2 linked regions of the Canis lupus familiaris genome follow. The main gene of each other region encodes a partner of the protein of the gene in region 2 in a complex. Links are inferred from orthologs where the notes say so. Each region holds a gene or a part of one and is shown on either strand. Other genes may lie near its edges.

Region 1 (4,712 bases), on a different chromosome or scaffold from region 2:
CCTGTCTCCCGGGAGAGAAAGTAGTGCCCAAGGCCACAGGCTTGAGGGCTACTTCCAGGAGGGGGCAGGGGCTGCAGGGGCTCAGAGAGGGGCCAAGGCAGGGCATCCCCATCCCGTCTCAGAGGAACCACAGGCTGACACCCCTGCCCTGACCGAGGCACCCCAGGAATTCACAGGGGCAGGAAGGAAACAGGGAGAGAGCCTGAAAAGCGAAGACTCTGTTTTGGCCCAAGTGACTGTGACCCACGTTCTCAAGTCAAGTCACCTTCATCTAAAAACAGCCACCCCTCCTCCACGCCCTGAGGCAGCCGGGCAGGGCACCCAGCCAGGCAGGCCTTATGGTAAACAGCCCAGGAGCTGGGAGGAGGCCCCAGCACCCAGCCTCCTCCCACCCACCTCGGCAGGCAGCTCTGCTCAGGTAGGAGGAGCAAGAGAACATTTCTGGGATGCCAGCCATAGGCTCTGGGCCTCCCCCCTCCCCTCCATCTCACCAGGAGGCGGCTCCCGCTCCCTTCACCTGAGGCTCAGAGGCCAAATCCACCGCCTGCAGGACTCAGCTAGCAACCTGGGGCCCGCCTGTGCCCTCCCCAGCAGGCCTGCCAGGACGATGGGACCCTCGACAGTCCCAGTCCCTGTCCCTGTCCTGGGCCTTGGCCAACACGGGCGCCAACCTGCCAGGCATGTGCTGCGTGAGTTGAGGAAAGCCACTGCTGGCAGCGTCCCCTGAAGCAAGCGTCTGGGACACTGACCCAGACAGGAGAGGCGCACGCTGTCAATAATTCACCCGTCCCAGGGGAAAAAGGACCATGGCATTCCTGGGAGTTCCCGGGAAAGGTGGAACTATCAAAGGTGATACAAAACAGGGCCTGGGGGCGGGGGGGGGGGGGGGGCCTCAGTGGGTGAGCGTCTCCTTTGGCTCCGCTCTGATCCCAGGGTCTGGAGGTCAAGCCCCATGACAGCAGGGAGCCTGCCTGTCCCTCTGTCTCTGCCCTCCACTCCCCACTCGTGCTCTGTCATATAAGTAAATAAATAAATAAAATACTTAAAAACAAACAAAGAGGGATCCCTGGGTGGCTCAGCAGTTGAGCATCTCCCTTCGGCTCAGGGTGTAACCCTGGGGTCCCGGGATGGAATCCCACATCAGGCTCCCTGCAGGGAGCCTGCTTCTCCCTCTGCCTGTGTCTCTGCCTAAAAAAAAACAAAAAACAAACAAACAAAAACCACTAATGAAATACATGTCAAGATATTTCATTTAAAAAAAAAAAATTGGGATCCCTGGGTGGTGCAGCGGTTTGGCGCCTGCCTTTGGCCCAGGGCCCAATCCTGGAGACCCGGGATCGAATCCCACGTCGGGCTCCCGGTGCATGGAGCCTGCTTCTCCCTCTGCCTGTGTCTCTGCCTCTCTCTCTCTCTCTGTGTTACTATCATAAAAAATAAATAATAAATAAATAAATAAATAAATAAATAAATAAATAAGAAGCAAGCACAGACACGAATCCCAGGTGGGCTCAGTGCAGAGACCGCCCACCCGCTACAGGCTGCGGGAGAGGGGGCAGGGGTCCTCCCGGCCTCCTGGCTGGAGCGCTGGTGACTGAAGCCAGGAATGAGGTAGAGACGTGCTTCCCCCTCTGACAGACGGGCGAACTCAGGAAAAGCACGAGTCCTCCTCCACGCCCCGCGGGCCGGGGCCACCAGCCACGCAGAGCGACTCCCCAAGGCTGGCGCTGCCAGAAACAGCAGCCTATTCTCCGCGTCCGGCGAGCCTGCGGGCTCCTGAGTCCGGCAGGGACCCGCTGGCAGTGGATAGTGGGCAGCGCGCCCGCCAGGGCCCAAGGCCCTCGCCCGGAGGCTCTCATAAACCGTCTGAGGAGGAGGAGGAGGACGGAGGCCAAGCGAGTCAAGTGGGTCAGGGGTAAGCGGGTGAAGCTCCGCGGGAGGCCCAGACCCTTCCTGCACTTTGTTCCCTACCTGCCATCCCTGGAAATCTTTAACCCAGAGCCACACGGGAAGTCTCAACCCCGGGAAGAACCCGTCCTGCTGTGTGTCCCCCGACACTCGGGCTCCCACCCAGCTTCTTTCTCCCCGTCGGTCCGACCCCCAAACGCTGCCCAGTCCCCAAGGCCTCCGCGGAACCGGACGCTGTGTGAGCTGAACACAAGGCTCTGCACGCTCCCTGCTCCCTGCCCGGACCCGGGCTGCCCGGGCGACCTCGCGGCGACCTTGGGGCACCTCCCCTCCGCAGCCGGGCCTCAGTTTCCAGCCCCGGAAAAGGACAGGGTGGGCAGGACGCCACCTCCTCCCCCGGCTCTGCAGGCGGACGAGCCCGCCCGGCGCCCAAGGGCTCAGCGCGCCGCGCGACACCGGGGGCAGGAGCCTCCCGAGCAGCTCCGGGCCCGAAATCCTGCCAAGAATGACAATCCCTCCAGGCCCCGCAGGCTGCAGGCAACCCCCGCCCAGACCCCCGGGAGCCCCCGCGCCGACCCCCGGGAGCCCCCGCCCCGACTCCCGCGAGCCCCCGCGCCGACCCCCGCCCCCACTCCCAAGAGCCCCGCGCCGACCCTCGGGAACCCCCGCGCCGACCCCCGGGAGCCCCCGCCCCGACTCCCAAGAGCCCCCGCGCCGACCCCCGCGAGCCCCCGCGCCGACCCCCGCCCCCGCCCCGAGCCCCTGCGCCCCGCGCCGACCCCCACGAGCCCCCGCGCCGACCCCCGCCCCGACCCCCAGGAACCACCGCGCCGACCCCCGCCCCGACCCCCAGGAACCACCGCGCCGACCCCCAGGAGCCCCCGCGCCGACCCCCAGAAGCCCCCGCGCCCTCCCCGCGCCTCCCGCTCCGCCCCCGCCCGCGTCCGTCCCGACGCTCACCTGCCCCGGAGCCGCCCCCGGCGCCCAGCAGGGCCAGCGCCAGCACCACGAGCCCCCGAGCCGCCATGCCGCCGCCGTCCGTGCCGACCCCGCCGCCAACCGCCGCCCGCGGCGCTATAAGAACCTGAGGGGGGCCCGGGCGCGCGCGCGCAGGGCGACGTCGCGGGGCGGGGACGCGCACGGCACGCCGGTCGGCCCTCCTGCGCACGCGCGCGGAAGCACGTATACACGCGCTGGCCCGAGCGGGCGCGGGCGGACGCACCACGTGACCCCGGAGGCCCCGCCTCGCTGCCTGGGGGCGTGGCTGCGTTGCTAGGAAACGGGGGCGTGGCCTGCGCTGGGCCCCTCCTCCCTTTCTGCAGCCTCAGACTGTGACGTCAGAACTGGGGGGGAATCCTCCCAGGTGGTTGACAGCTCGCTTTATATCGTGTGTGTTTTATCCCAGTACGGAAGGGGAAAAAAGCATTAAGGGAGGGGGTTAGGGATCCCTGTGAGCAGGTGGGACGTCGCGCTGGGCTGGGGCGGGCTGGCGGATTTAGCAAATAAAAATACCTGGATGGCAGTTAAGTTTGAATTGCAGATGGAGAATGAGTAATTTCCTGGTACAAGGATCCCGGGCAGTATCTGGACGCAGTTATGCCAGGAAAAGCATTCGCCGTTTATCTGAAATTCAGATTAACTGGCTGTGCCGCATTTTGCCTGGAAAACCTACCGTGAGGTCCCTATGTTTTACAACAAATACATTTTATTTTTTTATTTTTTAAGATTTTACTTATTTTTTTATTTTTTAAGATTTTATTTTATTATCTTTTTAAAGATTTTATTTATATATTCATAAGAGACACACAGAGAGAGGCAGAGACACAGGCAGAGGGAGAAGCAGGCTCCATGCAGGGAGCCCGATGCGGGACTCGGTCTGGGGACTCTGGGGTCACGCCCTGAGCCCAAGGCAGACGCTTAACCACTGAGCCCCCCAGGTGCCCCTTTAAGGTTTTATTTTTAATAATAGTGGTATTCTCTACACCCGACGTGGGGCTCGAACTCGCAACCCTGCGATCAGAAGTCGCGTGCTCCGCCCAACCCACCCAGCCAGGCGCCCGTACCGCAAACACTTTTCGAAATGACAAAATGATTTCTTTTTTTTTTTTTTTTTTGACAAAATGATTTCAAACAAAAACCAGGTAGTGTCACCTTGACGACTTTGGCTCAGGCAGTGGTTTCTTATATACGACAGCAAAAGCATGAGCGACAATCAATATCTAAACAGAACTTCATCAGGATTAAACAGCTGGTGCTTCAAAGAACTGCAAGGAGGAAGTGAGGAAATGGCCCGCAGGCCGGGAGAAAGCACGGGTACATCACGTGTCCCAGGAGGGCCTTACATCTAGAAAATATAAAAAACACTTACAACTGGATTTAAAACACGGACAAATAATCCAATTAAAAACAGACAAAGGACCCGAATGCGACACTTGTCCAAAGAAGACATGCACGGGGGGCACTAACCATGAAGAGGTGCCGTCGTGAGCCATCAGGGAACGCAAATCACAGGCGGCCCTGCTGGAAGCAAGAAAATCACAAGCGTTGGCGGGCGAGGACCCAGAGCCCCCCATGCGGCTGAGAGGAAGGGACGGGGACACGGGTGCAGCCGCGGCGGGTCACGCCCCAGCAGTTCCCGCTCCACCCAGCGCCCCGACTGCTGTGTGTGCACCCCAGGGTGGGCAGCTGCACCCAGGCTCCCCGCATCCCCCGCAGCCCCGGTGCCTCTTCCCATTGTGTTCACCTGCTTGTGCTTTTCAAGACTGGCAGAGACCAGAGAAGCTCTGAAGAGGCGTCGACGTTCACGG
Region 2 (4,455 bases):
AAAGCTGCCAGCTGCTCACGGCCTGCCCTCCCCCGCGCCCTCCCTCCAGGACATGGTGACCTACTTTGTGAACCTGAGCCAGGCGAACGCGCAGGGGACCCCGCTCTGGGAGCTCGAGTACCGGCTGACCCAGGCCTACGGGGTGCCCGACGCGGGCGCCCGCTCCATGCACGCGGCGCTGGGCCGCATCGCCAGCGACCCCCGCGCGCTGCAGCGCTACTACGTCTACAACTCGGTCAGCTACGACCCCTCGGCCTGCGAGCAGGCCTGCCGCGCCGAGCACGTGTGCGCGCTGCGCGAGGTGGCCTTCGACGCGTACGCCGCCTGCCTGCGCGCCCCCGGCGCCGCGCCCGCGCCCCGGCTCGCGCTCCTGCTTGCGGCGCCGCTGGGCCTGCGCGCGCTGCTCCCGCGGTGACCCGGGGCCGCCCGGAGCAGCCGCCGCTCGGGGACCAGGCCCGGAGACCCCCCCTCCCCACCTCGGCACGGGGTTTAAAAGTTTCATTGGGAAAACAATGCTCACCGAGCATCTTATGCTGTGCGTCTTTCCTCTTAGTATATAAGTAATGTGTGTTGTTTTTTTTTTTAAGATTTCATTTATTTATTCATGAGACACACACACACACACACACACACACACACACACACACACACACACACACACAGAGGCAGAGCCACAGGCAGAGGGAGAAGCAGGCTCCGTGCAGGGAGCCCGAGCCGGGACTCGATCCGGGGACTCCAGGATCACGCCCTGGGCCAAAGCGGCGCTAAAGCGCTGCGCCCGCCACCGGGGGACCCCTATGGATAATGCTGAATGCAACTCCCCTGCGCAGTTTCTGGACGGGTCTTGCAGGTCCCCCCACCCTGGCCTCCCCGCGTGTGGATGGTCCGAGTACCGGGGGCCTCCGGGGAGGGGCGCCCCGCGGGCCCGTGCCCTCGGGCTCAACGGGCGCTCGGCCCGCTCGAGGCACACCCGCTTTGCGAAGTCCCGCCGTCGGGGAACAGAACCCGCCTCGCTGTCCCGCGACCGCGCGGATGCGAGGGGTCGCAGTCCCAGCCCGGGCGCCGCTCTCCGGGCCCTTCCGTCGTCTCCATCGCAAAGCGAGGCGAAGAGAAGTCCGGGGAGGCTAAGGACGGACGGAGTGGCCGGCGGTCTCCGGGCCCAGCGGCCCTCGGGCGCGGCGGGGCCGGCCTCCCGGGGCGCCGGCGGGCGCGGGCCGCATCGCGGGCGCCCCCAGCCGCGGGGTCCGCGGGCCTCGCTCCTCCCCGGACGGGGCGGGGCGGGGAAGTCCCGCCCAGGAGGCCCGGGTCCTGGGCGGCCCCTAGGGCTGCGCCCGCCTCCTTCCTGCCGCCGCGACCCCGGGCCCCGAGGGCGGGCCTGAGCCCAGAGGAGGAGGAGGGGGAGCGGCTGGCGGGTCATGCCCTGGTTACCCCGCGCCGCGCTCCTCTGGGACGTGGTCCTGGGCTTTGGGGGCACCGCCGCCTTCCTGATCGACCTGGGCGCCGACCTGTGGGCCGCGGGCCAGTACGTGGTCAGCGGCCGCTACCTGTGGGCCGCGCTGGTGCTGGCGCTGCTGGGCCTCGCCTCGGTCGCGCTGCAGCTCTTCAGCTGGCTCTGGCTGCGCGCCGACCCCGCCGGCTTGCACGCGCCGCAGCCCCCGGGTCGCTGCCTGGCGCTGCTGCACCTCTTGCAGCTGGGCTACCTGTACAGGTGAGCACCACGCCCTCGGGGAGAGGGAGGCAGGCGCCGCGGGCTGCTAGCCCGGGGGAGGGCCGCGACACCCCGAAGGGGGCGGGAAGGGAGGATCCGGACCCTGGAGAGGAAACTAAGCCCTGTGGGCACTCCTGCCCACAGGTGAGCTCCCCGCCCCTAAAGCCACGGAGGCCAGGCCGGCAGACAGCCCTCTGAGCGCCTCCTCTAGCCCTACCCTCCTGCCAACCCTGGGGAAGAAACTGAGGCACTTGGTCTGGAGTCAGGCCTCTCTGGGCTCCAGTCCTCGCTAATTTACCGTCTATGGCCTCATGCCTGCGTTCTCTAAGCCTTTTTCCTCTTCTCTGAAAAGGCAACAGTGATGTAGAAACAGGTCTGGCAGGCGGCCTCTTGTGGGGAGTGGAGGCAAGAGCTGAGGTGCCTAGTATGGTGCTGGGCTCTTGGTGGGCTCTAGGGTAAGGGCAGACTCCTTATATTTTCCATACAAAAAAAAAAGTTCCTTTTTTTCCCTGGGTGGGGCCTCAGGCAAGTCACTGGAGCCTCCGGGTCTGTTTACTCATTGCTCAGTGGGGATGGTTGTAGCGCCTGCCTCTTTTATTTATTTATTTATTTTTTAATTTTTTTAAATTTTTATTTATTTATGATAGTCACACAGAGAGAGAGAGAGAGAGAGAGAGAGGCAGAGACACAGGCAGAAGGAGAAGCAGGCTCCATGCACTGGGAGCCCGACGTGGGATTCGATCCTGGGTCTCCAGGATCGCGCCCCGGGCTAAAGGCAGGCGCTAAACCGCTGCGCCACCCAGGGTTCCCCCTGCCTCTTTTAGTAGAGATTAAATGAAATAAGATCTGTAAGTTGCTTTGAGTAAGCATTCAACAAATGTCAGCTGGCTTGATCACTTGGGTCACCGTGTATGGAGCGGGGTTGTGTGTGTGTGGGGGGGTGCGGGGCGGGGAGCTTCAGCAGCCCTGACCCCCAGAGCAGAGCTTGTTGTTTCAATCCCTCTTTCCGAGTTTTGTTCTCTCTGCCCCAACCTCTCACCCCCAGAGCAAGTGAAAGAGCAACATGGGGTCTGACTCACGCATGTCCCTTGAGCCAGCCAGGGCTGGACACAGGCTGGGTTCCAGAAAATCTGTGTGGGTTATACTCCTCCTCTGAACTGGCAGGGCCCTCTAGAGATGAAGAAACTGAAAGAAAGCAAGGGATCAGAGTCATGGGATGGAGTCAGGACACATGTGGTCTGGGTTGGGATGGGGTGGCTGGAGCCAGGATCTGCTCTTGAATCGATTTTACAGATTCTCTCCAGGTCTTGCTTTGACAAAGCTGCATCGGGTCTTAAGGAGTGGACAAGAGGAGCTTTGATATTGCAGTTTTGCCCGAGGGGCTGCACAGGCATCAGTAACATGCTGGGCGGGCGCGAAGGAGTGGTTATTCGGGTCCTGGCAGACCTCGCGGAGCCCTGAATCCGTAACTGTGTCATGCATCTTCCCTTCTCCTATTTCTGCTGAGCACGAGGCCAGCAGACTTTCCTACACTTTGGTTTTGAAAATGGGGTCTCTTTGACTAGACTGAGGCAGGGGCCTTGGGGGACCAGGGGCCGAGGCTTTTGCTGAGGGAGGAGCCCCAGCCTGGGCCTACCCGCCCTGCTCCCTTAGTGTGTTAGTCCATCCAGGGGGAAGTGACAGTAGATGACTGAATTTGCTGTGACTGAGTGGGCTCAGTAGCCCGCTGAGATCAGCTCTGTGGGGGAGATCGTGGTACATCTTCCTACCACCTCATGCCAATGCCAGTGGGTCAGTCACCCAGGCCTGTTTGGCCAACCTCTGGACCCCTTAACTCTGCCTCTGTCTCCATGTCCATTACTCTGGACAGTCCTCTTAAATAGATCTGTGCTCTCACAGCTGAGGGCTCACCCCTCCACCCCTTCCTCTTCTCCACAGCCAGGGTAATCTTCCTGCAGCACCATCTGACCTATCTTGTCTGTGCTCGCAAGCTCTCAATGTCTCCCCACTCCACCCCCCGGCCCCCAGAATCCTAAGAAAAATCTTATGCTTGCTAACATTTGAGAACTATCGCCCGAAGCAGTTTCACAGTAAACCTTTGAAATTCACACAGCTTTGGGGCCAAATCCTGTTTCCACCATTGATTAGCTCTTTGGGTCTATTCCCCATCCGTTAAATGGGAATGTTGTCAGGAGTAAATGGTTTGTGATGACCTTAGGACACCCCGGCCAGCTGGAGCCCCGGTAGCTGGTACTGCTCCCCATTCTACAACAAAAAGCAAGTTCAGGGAGGTTAAGTCACTTGTGCCCAAGGCCCCTCAGCATGTAAGTGACAAAAGCTAGGACTGGAGGCCACCTGCATCGACCCAGTGGGTGAGGGAAGGTGGGACGCCACCACACACTAACCTGGCCCCTTGGAGCATCCGTGTCCGCCCCCCCCCTCCCAGGTGTGTGCAGGGGCTGCAGCAGGGGCTCCTGGTGTGGCGGCAGGAGGCGCCCTCGGAGTTTGACTTGGCTTACGCCGACTTCCTGACCCTGGACATCAGCATGCTGCGGCTCTTTGAGACCTTCTTGGAGACGACTCCACAGCTCACGCTGCTGCTGGCCATTGTGTTGCAGAGCGGCCGGGCCGAGTCCTACCAGTGTGAGTGATGGGCCCTTGGCCAGTCCCCCTGTGGTGACTTGGGAGAGCTTCTGATGAACATCATGAGTGTTTTAACTCTTTTATAAAGGCTGCTTAGAAAATAG

Evidence for each region. The genes of interacting proteins can lie anywhere in the genome.
Region 1: the proteins of XKR8 (region 2) and BSG are in contact, whole or in part, in a cryo-EM structure (PDB 7DCE), measured with the Homo sapiens proteins. The link is inferred for Canis lupus familiaris from reciprocal best matches to the Homo sapiens genes XKR8 and BSG. Residues at the interface, in NP_060523.2 of Homo sapiens: His232, Leu236, Val239, Leu242, Trp243, Leu246, Gln247, Arg280, Gly283, Arg284, Ile287, Phe291, Ser294, Asp295, Leu298, Ala301, Thr302; in NP_001719.2 of Homo sapiens: Trp326, Pro327, Gly330, Ile331, Glu334, Val335, Leu338, Val339, Ile341, Ile342, Phe343, Tyr345, Glu346, Lys350.

Annotation. Positions count from the first base shown.
Region 1 is NC_049241.1:58,428,330-58,433,041, forward strand, and holds the start of BSG (basigin), read right to left. Parts: upstream 3,001-4,712; 5' UTR 2,933-3,000; coding exon 2,866-2,932; intron 1-2,865.
Region 2 is NC_049223.1:71,817,101-71,821,555, reverse strand, and holds the start of XKR8 (XK-related protein 8), read left to right. Parts: upstream 1-1,321; 5' UTR 1,322-1,415; coding exon 1,416-1,708; intron 1,709-4,154; coding exon 4,155-4,351; intron 4,352-4,455. Other genes in the region: SMPDL3B (acid sphingomyelinase-like phosphodiesterase 3b), read left to right, coding at 50-415.